Macaca mulatta: one gene and its partner. The protein of the gene in region 1 interacts with the protein of each later gene in a pairwise test. Links are inferred from orthologs where the notes say so. Each region holds a gene or a part of one and is shown on either strand. Other genes may lie near its edges.

What was found.
Region 2: the proteins of NUP62 (region 1) and ISCU interact in binary tests that used the Homo sapiens proteins (3 or more experiments, as listed by UniProt). The two-hybrid records come from large-scale screens. The link is inferred for Macaca mulatta from reciprocal best matches to the Homo sapiens genes NUP62 and ISCU.

The regions. Positions count from the first base shown.
Region 1 is NC_133424.1:62,367,548-62,376,364, reverse strand, and holds the end of NUP62 (nuclear pore glycoprotein p62), read left to right. Parts: intron 1-2,464; 5' UTR 2,465-2,541; coding exon 2,542-4,107; 3' UTR 4,108-4,576; downstream 4,577-8,817. UniProt on the Homo sapiens protein: Essential component of the nuclear pore complex. The N-terminal is probably involved in nucleocytoplasmic transport.
Region 2 is NC_133416.1:115,689,785-115,700,340, forward strand, and holds ISCU (iron-sulfur cluster assembly enzyme ISCU), read left to right. Parts: upstream 1-1,250; 5' UTR 1,251-1,303; coding exon 1,304-1,417; intron 1,418-2,305; exon of another isoform or gene 2,306-2,425; intron 2,426-2,711; exon of another isoform or gene 2,712-2,769; coding exon of another isoform or gene 2,770-2,808; intron 2,809-2,926; coding exon 2,927-3,040; intron 3,041-3,933; coding exon 3,934-4,044; intron 4,045-5,849; coding exon 5,850-5,928; intron 5,929-6,316; coding exon of another isoform or gene 6,317-6,363; exon of another isoform or gene 6,364-6,378; intron 6,379-6,578; coding exon of another isoform or gene 6,579-6,631; exon of another isoform or gene 6,632-6,646; intron 6,647-7,490; coding exon 7,491-7,576; 3' UTR 7,577-7,988; downstream 7,989-10,556.

The DNA of each region.
Region 1 (8,817 bases):
AAACCCCGTCTCTATTAAAAATACAAAATTAGCTAGGTGTGGTGGCATGTGCCTGTAATCCCAGCTACTCAGAGGCTGAGGCAGGAGAATTGCTTGAACCCAGGAAGCGGAGGTTGCAGTGAGCCAAGATCGTGCCATTCCACTCCAGCCTGGGCAACGGAGCGAGACTCCCGTCTCAAAAAAAAAAAAAAAAAAAGGTGAACCGTTAAGCCAGACAAGTCCCCACAGAAGATTGTTTTCCTTGTAGTTTTTTCATAGTTGCAAAGAGCTTTTTATAAATGCTCTTCTTGGAAATTTTAGCTATAACTTATTAATAGCAAAAGCTTTTTTAAGCTGAGTTTTTGAGAACTGAGATGTGTAGGTGTAGCTGCTCCAATGCCTTTAGCTGCCAGTAACAACACACCGACTTGAGGTGGCTCAGCAGTGAGGACTTTTGTTCTGTCCCACAACGGGAGGAATGGATGCAGGCCGGGCTGGGCCCCAACAGTCCTGGGGGCTCAGGCACTTGCTGTGGCCTGTTGAAGAAGCCTTTCTCAGAATCCCCCAGGAGAGCTTTATGAAAATGCCAGGGCCAGCATCCTAGCCCTGGAGAGACTGGCTTCATGGAGCTGGCAGCCTTCGGTGTTTTAAATGCTCCAGTCAGTGCTGATGGGCGCCCATTGAGATCTGCTGGCTGGGACAAGGCAGAGCGCATGCAGCTGGCCCTGGGGTCATCTCCCCAGACTTGCTTGGCTGTGTGGAGGAGGAGGAGCAGATGAAACAAAAATTAGGGGCCTGTGGAAGGCAGAAGGGTGCAGTGGAAGGGGTGGGGGTAGTGAGGTAGGTTTCCTCTTCCTCAAGCTAGAAGGGGATTTCCTGAGGACAGACACCAAGCAATTTAAAAACTGGCCTGGAGAGAGGGAAGAGGAAACAGACGTCCTGGGTGTTTCTCTGGGCCAGGCACTTGGCTTCTCAGTCATGACTTTGTTCGTTCTGTTTGTTTGTTTGTTTTTTAGACAGGGCCTCCCTCTTTCCATTTCCGGCTTTTAGAGCTGCTTCTGCCTTCCCTGGCTCCTGGCTTTCTCCCGTCTTCAGGTTCCAAAGCGCATCACTCCAGTCTGCTCTTGCCACCACAAGCTTTCTTCCCTCTCCAGTCAGTCAAACCCATCTTCTAAGGATGCTTCTGATCATCTGGAGGGCTCTCACCTATAGTCCTAGCACTTTGGGAGGACAAAGAGGGAGGATCGCTTGAGCCCAGGAGTTCAAGACCAGGGCAACAGAGTGAAATCCCGTTCCTACGAAAAATAAAAAAGATTAGCCGGGCATGGTGGCATGTACCTGTAGTCCCAGCTACTTTGGGAGGCTGAGGTGGAAGGATCGCTTGGGCCCCGGAGCTTGAGGCTGCAGTGAGTTGTGATATGTCACTGCATTCCAGCTGGTATGACAGAGCAAAACCCTTTCCCAAAAGAAAAAAAACACCCCTATCCAGCACTTCCTCTCACCCTTTCCTCACCATCCCGCTGATAGATGGCACCACTTGGAGATTTTTCGGTTAGACGTCACCAACATCAAGTCAGTTTGGACTGAAGGGAAATGTTTGGCCCATGGGGCTTCTCGGGGGCTCTTTATCTGTTCCCCACCCCATCCATCTCTGGTGGGGCTCATGGTCTCCGGTGATGTCCCAGTGTCTGCAGGTGGTTGAGAAGGTGTCCAAGGGAGGCCCAGGTGCAATCCCCTGTACCACACTTAGAGGCGAAGGAGGCAGCTGCCTTCTGAGCATGGAGAAAATCCCAGGGGAGGCTCTGATTGCCTGGCTCAGGTCTCAGTTTATCCTCGAGCCAGTCACTGTGGCCAGGGGCATCTGTGCTCTGAGCACATGGGTTTCAGACCCTCCCCTGAGTTAGGAGGGGCACGTCCTCTCCTGCTCTTAGAGAGTACAGGTGTGGGCCTGGGGGACCTTCAGCAGCCCGGATCCTGCCATCCAGCCTGGGTTCCCTGCCCCATCTCTCTCTCTCACGTCCAGAGAGGCCCTCAGGGTGGCAAGAGCTGATCCGCTCACACCCCGCTAGAGTCAGCCAGGGAACCTTACTGGGTCCCACGCTGGGAGCAGGTCCTACAGCTGTTCTTCTGTGCCCTAGTCCCCCTTGTGGCAGTGCCTCAAATCTGATCTCCTCGGGCTGAAGTGGGTCCAAGGTCCTGTTCTCCCGCCTCATCCTCCAGAGTGGGAACTTTCCACTGTGCTGAACGTGGCCATGCACGTCCCTAGCACCCCGGCTCCTCGTACCTGACCCCTGGAGCGTGCATTTGTGCTTCTGGATCCTTCTCGATGTAGCAGAGTCTGGTTTAGGTTACACAGGACAAAGGGGGGTTGCTGCATGGTATCGTAATCCCATCCCACCACCCTCCAAACCAGCCGTGCCCAGTCATGCCACTGGGCTTGCCTTTCCAAAACTGCCATCTGACAGTGTCACTTCCTTTGCTTTAGAAATCTTCCCGAGGTCGCAGACGCCAGCGGATTTGCTTTGGGAGCCAGAGTAGCTGCCGCCACCAGAGTCCGGAGCCATGAGCGGGTTTAATTTTGGAGGCACTGGGGCCCCTACAGGTGGGTTCACATTTGGCACTGCAAAGACAGCGACAACCACACCTGCCACAGGGTTTTCTTTCTCCACCTCTGGCACTGGAGGGTTTAATTTTGGGGCTCCCTCCCAACCAACCACAAGTACCCCTTCCACCGGCCTGTTCTCACTCGCCACTCAGACTCCAGCCACACAGACAACAGGCTTCACTTTTGGAACAGCAACTCTTGCCTCGGGGGGAACTGGATTTTCTTTGGGGATCGGTGCTTCAAAGCTCAACTTGAGCAACACAGCTGCCACCCCAGCCATGGCAAACCCCAGTGGCTTTGGGCTGGGCAGCAGCAACCTCACTAATGCCATATCGAGCACTGTCACCTCCAGCCAGGGCACAGCACCCACTGGCTTTGTGTTTGGCCCCTCCACCACCTCTGTGGCTCCAGCCACCACATCTGGAGGCTTCTCATTCACTGGTGGAAGCACGGCCCAGCCCTCCGGTTTCAACATTGGCTCAGCGGGGAATTCAGCCCAGCCCACCGCACCTGCCACTCTGCCCTTTACTCCGGCCACGCCAGCAGCCACCACAGCAGGCGTTACGCAGCCAGCTGCTCCCACAGCCACAGCCACCACCACCGGTACTGGGCCCACCCTCTTTGCATCAATAGCAACCGCTCCAACCTCGTCTGCCACCACCGGACTCTCCCTCTGTACCCCTGCGACCACCGCGGGAGCCCCCGCTGCCGGGACACAGGGCTTCAGCTTAAAGGCACCTGGAGCAGCTTCGGGCGCCTCCACAGCAACATCCACCACTGCCACCGCCGCGGCCACCAGCAGCAGCAGCAGCACCACCGGCTTTGCCTTGAATTTAAAACCACTGGCGCCAGCTGGGATCCCCAGCAATACGGCAGCCGCTGTGACTGCTCCACCTGGCCCTGGTGCAGCTGCAGGGGCGGCCGCCAGCTCCGCCATGACCTACGCGCAGCTGGAGAGCCTGATCAACAAATGGAGCCTGGAGCTAGAGGACCAGGAGCGGCACTTCCTCCAGCAGGCCACCCAGGTCAACGCCTGGGACCGCACGCTGATCGAGAACGGGGAGAAGATCACCAGCCTGCACCGCGAGGTGGAGAAGGTGAAGCTGGACCAGAAGAGGCTGGACCAGGAGCTCGACTTCATCCTGTCCCAGCAGAAGGAGCTGGAAGACCTGCTGAGCCCGCTGGAGGAGTTGGTAAAGGAGCAGAGCGGAACCATCTACCTGCAGCACGCGGATGAGGAGCGCGAGAAAACCTACAAGCTGGCTGAGAACATCGACGCGCAGCTCAAGCGCATGGCCCAGGACCTCAAGGACATCATCGAGCACCTGAATACGTCCGGGGCCCCCGCCGACACCAGCGACCCGCTGCAGCAGATCTGCAAGATCCTCAACGCGCACATGGGCTCGCTGCAGTGGATCGACCAGAACTCGGCCCTGCTGCAGAGGAAGGTGGAGGAGGTGACCAAGGTGTGCGAGGGCCGGCGCAAGGAGCAGGAGCGCAGCTTCCGCATCACCTTCGACTGAGCGACAGCAGGGCCCTGGGAGTTCCATGTGGGGAACGCGCCCTGTTGTCTAGTTTGGGGTTGTAGCAAGATACATGTTTCTTTCTTTCACGTGACTGCCCTTGAGACAATTGCTGTGTGCTTTGCCTTTTTCCATGTAGGAAGTATTCTGAGCCCTCTGCCCAGGCAGCAGCCTCATGGGTGTGGCTTCTGTGGCTTTTATTTGAGTGTCTTTGGCCCCTTTCCAGCCATTGCGACTGCCCACCTCATCCTGGCTTGACCTGGTGATGGAGACGCAGTGGTGGTCTTGGTCCCAGCCAGGGTCGCGGGGACAGCCGCTCTCTCCAAAGCGTAGTCATAGGTGTCATGAAAAAATACCAAATGTAAGAGAACCTCCAAAGCCTGCAGGGCGCAGTGGCTCATGCCTGTAATCTCAGCAATTTGGGTGGCTGAGGCAGGCCGATCACTTGAGGTCAGGAGTTCAAGACCAGCCTGACCAACATGGTGAAACCCGTGTCTATTAAAAATACAAAAATTAGCCAGGTGTGGTGGGTGCCTGTGATCTCAGCTACTCGGGAGGCTGAGGCAGGAGAATCACTTGAACCTGGGAGGTGTTGCAGTGAGCCAGGATCACACCACTGCACTCCAGCCTGGCAACAGAGACTGTCTCAAAAAAAAAAAAAAGCGTCCCAGGAGACAGCAGCGTAAGTTTTGGAGTAGGAGGTGTGTGCCTGTGAAAGCTAACCACCAAGACAAAGCAGCACAGTGTGAATAGAACAAACAGTGGGATCGAGAATTGCACAGAAGACAGGTCAGCTGAGGGGCCTACACACAGAGGCCTGCCTTTTGCCCGGCCCAGGCTTACCCCCACCTCTGGGCCTCACCTCCTCCAGGAAGCCTTCCCAGCTACCCAAAGCTCAGGTGGCCTTCTTGCAGGTCCCCGTAGCACCCTGAGCCTGTACCTTGGGTAACATTTGCTATGCTGTCCTGTGCTAGCCGTTTGCGTCCGTCTCGCTGTTAGATTGTGAGCTCCCACGGGCAGAGACCCACTGTTGTTCCCCTGTATGTCCCCAGCCCAGTCCAACAAATGTGACTGGGACATTTATTAAATGAAAGAACAATGAAGCCCGGCATAACAACAGTCCACAGAAATAGCCACAGCTGCCAGTGGTGGCCACGGACATGGCTCTGAACTTCCTGGCACCAGAGTGACTCTAGTCAGTTACAGTAAAATCCACTGTGTGTGGAAGGCAGAAGCCAGCAGTTGTATCCCAAGTGTCTTTTGTATTTGTCTTTATCCTTTGCTGCATTCTCTGAAATACCTATTACTGTATGTTGCTTTTCTAAATAAATGTATTGTGAAACCAAAAAGGCTGCTAATATGGATAAATGTTAGGAGGAGAAACTTGAGTAAAAAGAGCAGCTTTCAGGAGACTCTGCAGGGGTGTCATTCACGTGAAACGCAGGGGCAAGCAGTGCTTGCATAGACACAGGAGCATGTGATGAAGCAGCTTTTGTTTGATGAGACGGAGTAATAGAAAATGCAAATTGTGGTTTGCTCCTGGAAGGGGTGGTGCCTGGTGGTAGAAGAGGAACACGCGAGTGAAGCCACCACGGGGAGTGGGCCCTTGGTGTTTGTGACTGTTACGTCATAGAATATACACAAATATGGCTGGGCGAGGTGGCTCACACCTGTAATCCCAGTACTTTGGGAGGCCGAGATAGGCGAACACTTGAGGTCAGGGATTCAAGACCAGCCTGGGCAACATGGTGAAACCCATCTCTACCAACTACAAAAAAGTTGGTTGTGCATGCTGGCACGCACCTGTGTCTCAGCTGCCTGGGAGGCTGAGGTGGGAGGATCATTTAAGCCCAGGTATTAGAGGCTGCAGTGAGCCGTGATCTGCCACTGCACTCCAGCCTGGGCGACAGAGCAAGACACTGTCTCAAAAAACACACGTTAAGTCATCTAGCCCCATCCCTAAGGCGCTAGTCCAGTGGCTACAGACAGCATGGGCAGCATTCCTTCCTGGCACCTGGGGCTAAAGACACAGGCCCCATGCTCTTCCTCTGCCCTGCAGCCTCGCTCTGTGGACTGGAATGGTCCTAAGCACTCAGATCTTCTGGGCTGTGGGAAGTGTACCCCTTCGGCCTCCCTCAACCTGTTCATGTCAATCTGTGGGCCACGCTTGGAAGATTTATGGCCCAGGTTCCAAAAGTCTGCCGAAGTCATCATCATGAGTCATTATTTCCTTGGACCGGCTGGGCACGGTGGCTTACACCTGTAATCCTAGCACTTTGGGAGGCCAAGGCTGGCAGAACACCTGAGGTCGGGGGTTCGAGACCAGCCTGACCAACATGGAGAAACCCCATCTCTACTAAAAATACAAACATTAGCTGGTGGCTAATTAGGTGGTGGGCGCCTGTAATCCCAACTACTCGGGAGGCTGAGGCAGGAGAACCGCTTGAACCCAGGAGGTGGAGGTTACAGTAAGCTGAGATCATGCCATTGCACTCCAGCCTAGATAAAGCGAAACTATGTCCCAAATGAATAAAATGTCCTTGGGCCATCTTGGGCTCTGAAGGACAGGAGTTGTGTCTGAGTAGAAGCCATGGGTGTGTGTGGTGGGCATGGTAAACCAGAGGAAGACCCCACAACCCCAGCTACTTCTCTCTGAAAGCTGTCACCTACAGCAGGGACCTCTGTGCAGTTCATAGGCCTTGACTCATGCTGCCCCCTCTGCTGGAAGGGAGGGCTTGAGTCCCCTTAGGAGGCAGGAAGCAGTTTGCATTTTACCTACATTTGTGCCTTCAGCATCTATTTTCAGAGCTGGTCCTGATCTGGTGCTGGAGGTACCAAAAAATGCCCACAAAGAGGTCGTTGGCAGGGTCCACACAATCATGACGAGAAAAATTTGAGCATATATTTCCAAAGTCTATATGTATATTTTCCTATTATTTTGCATACTATTTCCTATTTTGCATATTAAAGCTTAGCAATGCTTAATTGCTTTCTTACAGTTACATTTTTAAAATAAGAACAGATTCCAGCTTTGGGAGGCCGAGGCAGGCAGATCACCTGAGATCAGGAGTTTCAGACCAGCCTGGCCAACATGGTGAAACCCCGTCTCTTCTAAAAATACAAAAACTAGGGTCCGGGCATGGTGGCTCACGCCTGTAATCCCAGCACTGTGGGAGGCTGAAGTGGGTGGATCACAAGATCAGGAGACTGAGACCATCTTGGCTAACACAGTGAATATCTCTACTAAAAATATAAAAAAATTAGCTGGGTGTGGTGGCGGGCGCCTATAGTCCCAGCTACTCAGAGAGACTGAGGCAGGAGAAGGGCGTGAACCCGGGAGGCGGAGCTTGCAGTGAGCAGAGATGGTGCCACCGCACTCCAGCCTGGGCGACAGAGCAAGACTCCGTGTCAAAAACATAAAAAATAAATAACTAATACAAACATTAGCCAGACGTGGTGGCGGGTGCCTGTAATCCCAGCTCCTCACGAGGATCACTTGAACCTGGGAGGCGGAGGTTGCAGTGAGCCGAGATCACGTCATTGCACTCCAGCCTGGGCGACAAAAGTTACATTCCGTCTCAAAAAATACGAAAATTAAGTTCTACATTTTCTTCCCATACCCCAAGGGATCTTGAGCACCCCACTCTGAATAACACAAGTGATTCCATTAAATCAGGGGCTCTGCCCCAAAGCCATGTGGGAAATGGTCCCAACAGGCCTCCTGGGGGAGTCTAGGAGGGATCCCAAGATCGCAGCACCAGCAACTGACTGGGTGCCACCGCGGGTGATGGCTCCGTTGTAATTTCAATTTCCCTTTCCAGGAAGAAAATACACAGACGTGCTTCCTTGCCAGTCCCGACAAATGGCCTTTCCTTAAGTTCCTCATTAATTAATATGAAGACAACATATTTGGTGACTAAATTTGGAATCAGAGGCTTTTAAAGGTGAATCTCAGCTCTTACTGCTTTGCTTTTCCCTGTTTAGGGATAAGAGTGGCAAATGGGGCCGGGCGCGGTGGCTCAAGCCTGTAATCCCAGCACTTTGGGAGGCCGATACGGGCAGATCACAAGGTCAGGAGATCGACGCCATCCTGGTTAACACGGTGAAACCCCGTCTCTACTAAAAAATACAAAAAAACTAGCTGGGCGAGGTGGCGGGCGCTGTAGTCCCAGCTACTCAGGAGGCTGAGGCAGGAGAATGGCATGAACCCAGGAGGCGGAGCTTGCAGTGAGCAGAGATCGCGCCACTGCACTCCATCCTGGGTGACAGAGCGAGACTCCGTCTCAAAAAAAAAAAAGAGTGGCAAATGGGGGCTGGGTGTGGTGGCTCATGCCTGTATTCCCGGCATTTTGGGGAGTCCAAGAGGAGTAGATTACTTGGGCTCTGGAGTTTGAGACCAGCCTGGGCAACATGGCGAAACCTCGTCTCTACAAAAATACAAAAATTAGCCAGGCGTGGTGGCTCCTGCCTGTAGTTCCAGATACTTGGAGGCTGAGGTGGGAGAATCACATGAACCCGGGAGGCAGAGGTTGCAGTGAGCCGAGATCGTACCACTGCACTCTAGCCTGGGTAACAAAAGTGAGATTCTGTCTCAAAAAAAAAAAACCCAGCACATATAGTAGTATAATATGTGGTCAAACCATCAAATCATGAGGGAATGATGACTTTTGATTCTTTTTTAGTACAATCTAATCATCGATACAATTTATT
Region 2 (10,556 bases), on another chromosome or scaffold:
ATAACGAGAAAATCTCCAAATACACTAAATTCATTTTATTTTATACCCCTGTAAAAACTCCCACCAGAGAAAAAACTCATTATCATGGCATACGTTCCGTCACAACTTCGGACAGAAGTTGGGTCTTTGGGCAGGAAGTGGAGGCCATAGAGGAAGTCATGGAGCGAGCGTGGTGTCTGTAGTAAAGAATTTGGCGCCATCTTGAGAAGGTCAAAGTGATTCTTAGAAAAAATACCTTACTTATCGCCTAGCGTGACCTGGCGCTTGGGTTTAGTCTCCCCAGCAACTGCACCTCAAACGCAAAGAAAACTGCAGGTCCTCGGGGAAGGATCGATTTCACCATTCAAGAGAAAAATCCATTTCCCAAAGAAATTCTTCCCCTTTATGTAAACATCTGGTACCTAGGAGGCGTTAAATACACTTGAGTTTTCCGGTTTTATAAGCTCACATACTGCAAACCAACAGTAAATACGCATTTCTTTAGAAATTCTTAATTGCTAGGCACCGACATATAAATTGAATTTGCTGTTGTTTTAGAGAGAAAAATAGACATATACTCATTTTTTTTCAATCAGGACATGGTGTTCGTTTCCTTCTTAAGCTTCCCATTGTTGAGGTAGGCAAGTACTGGAGTGTGTCTCTATCTCTACCTTGCTCCCTCATTAGCAAGCTTAATAGGCAGGAATTACGTCTGTTTTGCTTTCTGTTGGATCCCCGGGTCTAGTAGAGTGCCTTGACACATAGTAGGTACTCGACACAGATGCTGGCTTCATGATGAAGGAATTGTCCTCGAATTAATACAAAAGGGAAGATTCAGACTTAGCAAGCCGGTACCATTTGTCTAGGGACACACAGCCAGGAAGGAACCGAACCAGGATTCTAACCCAGGACTACCCAAGTTCGAATTCTAATTGAACCTAAGCCCTAAGCGACCTTGGACGGAGTGACCAAACTGCCCTGAATCTCAGCTTCCTTAGCTGCAAAATAGGGTTAGGAAAAGTGGACTCAGTGGTCCTCTGCGCCGCATTCCCACACTGCAGAAGCCTGAGATCCTCTCTCAACCAGAATCCAGCACCCAGGACAAGCCCTCTAGCGACTTCAGACCTTCCCGCTCCCGACCCCGCCCGCCCCCGAGAGGCGTGGTCAAGGCGGGGCCACAGGGCGGAGGCTTGCACGGAACGGTAAGGCGCAGGCGCAAAGCCTCGGTGACGCCAGAGAGGCGCGCTCCCAGCTCGGCGCCGACTCGCAGACGCGCCCCGCCCCTCGGCATCGCTCTGGACTGGCGCAGGCGCAAGCCGGCAAGATGGCGGCAGCTGGAGCTGGCCGTCTGAGGCGGGCAGCGTCGGCTCTGCTGCTCCGGAGCCCCCGCCTGCCCGCCCGGGAGCTATCGGCCCCGGCCCGACTCTATCACAAGAAGGTAGGGACAAACGAGGGGACACGCGGAATGCCGACTCGGGGGAGGCCTGGGCTGGAGCGGCGGCCGCGGGGTTCTACGCAGCCAGGACTAGCTGTCGCCTCCCACGTCTTTCCCCTGACTCACTTTCCCTTGCTACGCAGTGAGGCTCACTGCAACTGATAAACAACAGTTACCGCTTATCGGGCTGCGACTTCCAGGGGGCCCCGCCGCTGGCCGCGACTTCGTGCGTCCCAACTTTAAATTCGCCAACAGCCCAGGAGGCAGGGTCCTGTTGGGACTTGTCTTTTACAGTCCATTGACAGACACACCCCCGGAGCGGGCTCCGGCTTCAGCCACGCTGCTGCCCTGGCCAGATGACCTTGCGCTAGTCACTGCGCCTCTCTGAACTTGTTTCCCCAGGTGTAAATGAGGACTCTCAGCTGTCTCTTACAAAGGATACTGTGCATGGAGTCCTGTCATGGTTCCTGGCACATAGGCCCCAGCACGAGGAGACCGTTTTTGTTACTGCTTTAGGAGTGCATAGGGGAGTCAGACTTGTAACCAACATGCGTAGTGTTTTTGTTTTGTTTTGGGGGTTTTTTTGGCGGGGAAGGAGGGATAGATGCATAGTTTGCAGCCCCTTGCTGTCTGGTGACGCAAAGTCCCCCAGACGTGAGACTGCCACTCTAGAAACAGAATAAATCAACGTGGCACAAAAAGTCCCTCCGTTAGATACTATCCTATAGGGGCCTTTACTTGGAGTCAAAATCCTTAGATGGGGAGGAAAAGGGGACTGGAAGATCGGGGTGCTTACTACTAACCAGTAACCACATTAAGGCCTTCTGTGTGCCAGTTCGAATAGATGTTGATTCTGATCTGGCCTCTGCCCTTTCTCCAAGGGCTTCTTCACTCCTCCCCCTCCCGGCGGTGTGTTTCGTTGAGGGTACACCCCGAGGAAACTTGGACTAGCAGCCTTTCAGCAGCCAGGGTGCGCTGCTGCACCAGGGTGATGACAGGCTCTGAAATACGGTAATGGCACTGTTTTTATTTTGAAAGACACATAAACGTACACATTCCATAGCATTGTTCTCTGTGTAACAGTCACCTTAAGGCTTCTAAAAGTTTTCCCTTCCTGGGCCATAGTTATTTTTAGAATTTTTAAATAGTAATCATCCTTTGAGGATAGTTTTTATTTGAAAATAACAAAACTGCTGTTTGAGCCCAAGTCTGGTGATGTAGGTGGGTAAAAGTCAAGTATTTTTGTAAAAACCCTATGGAATTAAGACATGATTTCACTGATATTTTTTTCTTCTAGGTGTCGCTAATCTGTGAAGTAGTTGTAGAGGAGACACAAAAGGAATTGGGGGTCACAAATGGTTCTCACTGACATGAGTGTAGACCTTTCTACTCAGGTGAAATTTGGTGATTGCCTGCCAGGTTCAAGATGCTGACTTCCAGGAGCTTGCCACCATACCAGAGACCAGCACCAATAGAGAGTGAACACGATTTATCTTAACCCTCTCATTTTAGGTTGTTGATCATTATGAAAATCCTAGAAACGTGGGGTCCCTTGACAAGACATCTAAAAATGTTGGAACTGGACTGGTGGGGGCTCCAGCATGTGGTGACGTAATGAAATTACAGGTATGGCTAGTCTTTAATAGTGATAACAATAATCCCTTTAAGTTTACAAAGCACTTGCACATACAGCATTTCACTCGGTCTCCATCTTTATTCCTGTGAGATGGGATGAGTCCATGTTAGACATGATTGGAACAGGGCCTCAATCGTAGCTCTCCTGCTAGGCTAGTGTACTATGCCGACTTTTTCCGAAATAGAAAAGTAATCTCATTTTTGTACTCACTGTATAAGTTTAAATTCCAACTTCAGCCAACGAAAGAGTTTTGTAAATTTTACTGATCAAAGGAAAATCCCAGTGAGCTAGCAGTCCCCAATGAGATAAGAAACACAGTAAATTAAACCTGTCCCCAGATTGGGAGCAACATGAAGATAGTGTCTAGTGCTTTGGGTAAACTGTTGTTGTAGCGCCAATCTGCTGCTTCATGGTGAGTGGGCAGCTTGCCAGAGATCTTCATACCTATCTTGGAATACAGAAACAAAACAGGAGGAAACCACTAAGTATAATCTGCTGCCCAAGAAAAAAGTATTAACCAGAGACCTTTATTGTGTACTCTCTCAGTGTTTAAGAGGCAGATTGCCCCAGCAGCTGTGAGCAGACTGCCTCAAATAGAAGTTCATAGCCAAAATGCAAGCCAGAGTCGCAAAACAAAATAATATTGGGGTGGAGGAACATATTTTTCAGCTGATCTTTGTCAGTTGGGCCTGGATAGTTGTCCCTGCATTTCACTTTTCATCACTGAGCTCTCTGAAACAAGGCAAAATCAGTAATTAATACCATCACTTAGTATGGAAAGCAAGCCCAAAGCCCTTGGGGAAGGCCCCAATGAAACTTCGTGAGTGCCAAGTTCCAGAGGGTGGTCCTAGGACTCACCACTTAACTCTTGTCTCTTTTCTAGATTCAAGTGGATGAAAAGGGGAAAATTGTGGATGCTAGGTTTAAAACATTTGGCTGTGGTTCTGCAATTGCCTCCAGCTCATTAGCCACTGAATGGGTGAAAGGAAAGACGGTAAGGTTGCTCACAAATCTGACAGAATGAAATTGCATTCACCCCAAGCCTGTCTCTTGACGGGTCTAATGGGTCAAAAACAACCATAACTTTTTTTTAATATTCTGAATTTTTAAAGTTTCTGCTATACAGATGTTGATTATATTAATTCTTCAAATTGGGAATTATAGATCATTCTAGATGATGTTTGGGTTTTTTTCTTGTTGATCATTTTGTTTGTTTGTTTGGGTGTTAATTACATACAAAAAAGATCCTCACCTGTCCCTCTAACAAAATAGAATTTAGAAGAAATCTTTGGCTTTCTCTAAGGTTACCAATACTCTTATAATTTGTCAAGTCAGAGAGTTGTTATATGGTAGTTATTTTCTTGCTTATTTCCTCTCATGTTTCAGGAAGGGTTCTAGGTGGCTTACAAGGATTGGTGAAATAAACTAGCGTGTGTTAAAAGAGGGATTAAAGAATCAAAAACACAGCAAGGGTAGGGGCAAAGTGAACAACGAAATCAGAACAGTGATCCAGGTGGCTGATCACAAGCCCTCTAAAGGCAGAGATAATAAAGAGCTAGAACTTCTCTTTCATCCCTTTCTCTCCGAAGTGTCTTTCCCTGGTAGCTGCAGAGGTCAAAGGTCCCAAAAGCAGTGAAGAGCTGGACTTTCTAAAATCCAGTTGCTGTCAGAACCTCTCAGAAAAGCCAACCATCATGGCACTCATCTTTGCTGCCCCAAGGGACCAGGTGCAGGGAGCTGAGTCATGGAGGAGCATGCTTGGGAGCTGGCCAGCTCCACGGCAGAGCGGTTTGCCAGGCCACGTGCCACCTGCTTCCTGTGGCTCACGGCCTTCTGGCTGGCAAGCTCCTGTGGGCCAGGAAGCTCAGACCTAACCTGCTCTGGCAGGAGGTAGCCCTGAAGTGGTTTGTCAGGAACTGTCCTCAGGTGAAGGGAGAAATGAGACAAGGCACTTATGCTCCCAGAACCTGGCTCTTAGGGGACTGTGAATTGTGATCAGAAAATGGGAGAGAGAACATTTCTTTAACCTTTAAACTGAGATCGCCTATCTGAGTTTCAGGAGCAGAACCTGAATCAGCCAAGAAGGGTTAGCAGAATTGGGAAATTGAACGATAGTCAGACATAGCAAAGGAGCCCAGCTGTTGGGAAATCTGGTTTTCTGTAAGGCGGTGGGGCACTGTTCCACATGGGCGAGGATCTGTTTGCCTCACATTATCCCCCCCGGGCTGTCAACCAGAACCCAGGCGTCCTCCTCAGTTGATCTGGAGGAGCTGCTCCTATAGGCAAAGGGTGACACCAGAGAGAGCGTTCAGCCCGACCCGGCTGTGCCACTGCCACTGTGCCACTTACCTGACATCTTCCCAACCTCTCTGATGCCATGTGGCACTTCTAGTCAAAAGGATTTATTCTAACATTTCGTATGAGGACATCAGAGAAGCTGATATTCACAAAACCAGTATCGGAAATCACTACCTTTTAAGGAAAAGATTCCTGACACAGGCCACAAGCAGATCCCTAAGAGACTTCTCACCGGTTCCACTCCTGGCTTAGAGAAGTGTCTGGGCGGTCTTTGCTTACCCAAGCCAGGCAGTGCAGCTGTGTATACTTCATGCTTGAGAATCCCAGCTGCAGCTTTGATAGAGTGGGAGTCATCCTGAGAAGACCCTCAACCCTTTGAGTTATTAAACAGAAATTATCCCCACCAACCCCGAGGGCCTTTTTGGCCTCCCTTTTTTATTGTCTGGCCCTCACAAGATAAAGCGTTGCTAAAACTGCCCGTCTTTCCATTATGCCTCTCAGGTGGAGGAAGCCTTGACTATCAAAAACACAGATATCGCCAAGGAGCTCTGCCTGCCTCCCGTGAAACTGCACTGCTCCAGTAAGTCTCTGCTCTCCATACCAGTCAGCTGGGACATTTGGCAGTAATTTCAACTTGCATTTGCAACAGTCCTTTTAGGTCATGGAGCCCATGTTTATAACCCTCAGAATTAGAGCTCATGAGTCTGTCCTTACAACCTGCAGAGGGTTAGAGCCCCCGTGGTCTCACATTCATCCCTAAGAAAATCATGCCAGAAGGAGATATGCACCAGCCATCATACTGAGCACTTGATGGGCATCATTTCTAAACCTCACAGATATCCTTGAGTGCACAGTCGATGTCATTACTTTCCTCTTATGGATGAAGGAGCTGAGGCTTGGGTTGAGACACCCACGTCACATGGCTAATAAGTGGGAGAGCCAGAATTTAAGCTCCAATCTTTGATTTCAGAATCTGCTGTTTCTAGCAGAGGAGAAAACTCAGCTTTCTCCATAATCCCGTTTCCTGTGTATTTCTTCACTTCCTGTCTGGATGCTATAACTGTCAGGGTCTGCATCTGTATATATGGCACAACTAAGCCCAGTTGTACAATGTCCCCCTCTCTGCTATCCTAAAAAAAAGCTCACATGCCTTAAGACTTGTACTTGGCTTTCCAGTTTGGTCTCTGTATTAAATCTAATGCTTTTTCCATCATTTCTTAACCTTCTCAGGGAAAGAAGGAATGAGAAACATTAGCCTTAATGCATCGATGGAGGTTTACTAACCAAATTAGTTAAAAATCAGCAGAGAGTCAGGCCTCTTGCCAGGGTAATACTCACAAGGAGAAGAGCCAGGTGCCGGGGCAGACACACTAACTCATTCTTCAGGAAGCCTGGTCAGACCCAAGTTCTTTCCACTTGATCTGGAATTTTAAGTACCCATAAAGAAAGGTCATCACTTGTAAACATTTTCACATGGTTTCAGGAAATCCCTAGCCCTTTTATTAGGCATTTTTAGGTACTGAAACCTTTAGCTGATGTTCTCTGCTATTTGCTTGCTTTCTGCTGTCATTCCAGCTCTCTTGGTTTTTATTTTCCCCATAGCCTCACTTTGAATATTGACTCCTAAATAAAAGTGGTCAAACTCTCGATCACTAGAGGGTGATGTGGCAAATGCCATCCCATCAACAGATTGACATGATCTTTTTTCCAAAGGTCATGTCAACTTTTTATCATGATATGATTTTGTCCAAAGCCAGACTTTGATGGGAGCAGGCAAGAACTAACATTTGCTATGTCCCTACTATGTGTTAGACATCTTCCGTAAGTCCCCACACTATCCTGGCAAGAAAAGCATGATTATCCCAGTTCTATAGAGTAGAAAGTAGGTTCGAAGAGGCTAAGGAACTAGCCTGGGATCACAGATATTTAAACCCTAGTCTGTCTCCAGGATTACCCACAGGAGTAACTCAGCTCAGTAAGTAGCTGCTGACCTGCCCGGCAACTCCTCACCCCAGCTTTCTGTCTTGGTTACCCCGTTAGTCCCCACCAGCACCACTTCCTCTAAGCTCTTAAAGATTCTATTCCCAAAACCACTTCTTTCGCATCTAGAAACTTAGGCTTCTTTCCTTCCGTTACCTGTAGTGCTGGCTGAAGATGCAATCAAGGCCGCCCTGGCTGATTACAAATTGAAACAAGAACCCAAAAAAGGAGAAGCAGAGAAGAAATGAGCCCTCCCTGGGAGAAGCCTCCAGCAGGCCACACCCCTGTTTCCCACCTGCCGTGCAATCACCTTAGATGTTCAGAAGCCGCTCCCTCTCCACTGAAGAGCTATGAGATACGCACAATACTTGCTGTTCACATTATGACTCTCATGCAAGCAAAATACACAGTTTCATTGTTCTGAATCCCGTGGTTTCTTTCAGTCCACTTTTATCGCCTTAACCTAGTTAATGTGTATTTTGAATTGTGTGTATGACCTCAGAACTGAAATTGATAAGTTGCAAATGTTGATAGCCCATGAAGTACGTAAGTATCTAATTTTACCTGAATTGATTTGGAGGGAAATTACCAGTAGAATGCCTTTGTCTGAATATTTGATAGAACTAATTGTTGTACATAAAACAGATCTGCATATATATAAAAAAATAATAATAAAACAATGGAAGATAATGGTGTTCTCTAATAAGCCTTGTCTCTTGGGCCCATCATTCACTCCAAAGTGGTGCCCAAAGCCCCTTGGGGTTCCCAGATGTTGGACCGCAATGACATACACAGCTCTCCAAGCAAACAACAGTAAAGGTCATGTACAAGATTTTTTCCAAAGACAAATACACATAATATTTTTTTGGAACAAGGATGAAAGGAGATGATTATCGCTTTTCATTGTTCTTTGTGAGATAATAGTTGACAGCTCGAAGTGAGTCTTGAAGATTCTTTTTGTAATTTCACTGGTTGCTCAAATCTAAGAAGCATTGGCTTAGCACCCTAAAGATACGTGAAGAGCACCTCGGGAATGAGTTTAAAATGCAGATTTCTAGGCCCAAGTTTCTGACTTCTGTCTGGGCAGGTAATTCCAGAGCCCCTGACTTTTAAGAACCACTTTAAGAACCAAGGTCAGGCCGGGCACGGTGGCTCAAGCCTGTAATCCCAGCACTTTGGGAGGCCGAGACGGGCGGATCACGAGGTCAGGAGATCGAGACCATCCTGGCTAACACGGTGAAACCCCGTCTCTACTAAAAAATACAAAAAACTAGCCGGGTGAGGTGGCGGGCGCCTGTAGTCCCAGCTACTCGGGAGGCTGAGGCAGGAGAATGGCGTAAACCTGGGAGGCGGAGCTTGCAGTGAGCTGAGATCCGGCCACTGCACCCCAGCCTGGGCGGCAGAGCAAGACCCCGTCTCAAAAAAAAAAAAAAAAAAAAAAAAAAGAACCAAGGTCATAGATGAGCCGAACTTTAGGGAAGAAACTTCTGAATGCTCTGTTCTGCATCGGTGTAGTATGTAACTGGTTCATTCTGAACTCTCTGTACCTGCATAGTACACCTAAGGTTGTTTAAAAAACATTCATCCAGCCGGGCGCGGTGGCTTACACCTGTAATCCCAGCACTTTGGGAGGCCGAGGCGGGTGGATCACGAGGTCAGGAGTTCAAGACCAGCCTGGCCAACATAGTGAAACCCTGTCTCTACTAAGAATACAAAAATGAGCCAGGCGTGGCGGCATGTGCCTGTAATCCCACTACTCGGGAGGCTGAGGCAGGAGAATCGCTTGACCTGGGAGGCAGAGGTAGCAGTGAGCCAAGATTGCACCAGTGCACTCCAGCCTGCAAGACAGAGCAAGACTCTCTCAAAAAAAAACCAGACAAGCATTCATCCCTGGCGTGGGCATAAGTCTAAGCACGGTTCCTCCTACCCTGATGTCTCCCTATTCTTAGCTACCTGTAGTCATGCAAATCTCAATAAAGGATGCCCTATCTTCTAGTGAAAATGGGTGATTGAAATATTGACTCCCATAGTCTCAAATGTTCAACTTCAAAAGTAAGATGTGTTTGTTTTTTCTGGTGGTGGTTTTTTGTTCAGGCATAGGCTGGCTGCCTCTTAAATATGCCTCCCTTACTTTTTTTGTTTTTTTTTTTGTTTTAATGCTCTGGGTTCTGGTGGAGGGCGCAGAACTTCAAAGACTGTTCCCTGTGTAGTCTGTGACGGCAGCCACAGACCAGGGACTTTATAGGAATCTCAAATTAGAACCCTGGGTAGAACCATGTAAAATTGTCGTGTGTGGCATGTTCTGCAATTTAATTCACAGTCCCTCTAGACTGAGCTTGTCTCTCCCTTGTTTATTACATGTGGCACCACCACAATTCCCCACCACTTTTCTTTGTGATTTTTTTTAATTTAAATGAGACATTTCTGTCCCAGTTAACGTCCTCAGAGTTGACATCAGGAGGAGCTTATAAACAACCGAAGCAATATTCCCAGAAGAGCCCAAGTCTCCAAACGTGGTTGTGCTGCTAAAACGAATGGATATTTTTTAAACTCACATTAAAGACACCCTTTCCCAAGACAAATCTAGTTAGAGCCACACGAGGGCATCATGTGCCCTTCAGTGAGCTCAAGTCTAGGGGTTTTGCAGCCTCCAAATAGGTCTTAGCATCTCTAAATAAACCCCTCGATGGAAAACCTCCACAGGTAAGTTACAACCGTCTGTTAAGCATCCGTGCCCTGTGCCAGGCCCTTACATTTGTAATCCTGTTAATTCTCATGACAGCCCCCTGCGGTGGGCATTGTTTCAGACAAGAATACTGACTCAAGAGGCCAACTGACCCTCAAGCCAGCTGGCTTGAGTTGAGTGACCCAAAGCCCATTCTTCTGCCTTACCCCTCCTGGCAGAACACACCAGGGATTCAAACTGCATATCTGAGGTTCACCTGTGCCTTGAACATTGAATGAAATAGCTGAACCAACACAGGTTGAGCCTGATGCATCCACTTGGCCAACTGGCTGCCAAGCACCATGGCCCTCACGCCAACCCTGGCTCCTACCAGGAGCCTAATTAAATTCTGAAGCCAAGTTAAAGCCAGTGCTCTGGAGGTGGGGCCTGGGCACTGGCATCACCTGATGGGCTGGGTGAGTTTATGGGTGGATGGATGAATGGATGGATGGGGAAGCAGAGGCTCCGAGAGGTGAAATGACTTGCCTCAAGGCACACAGCTA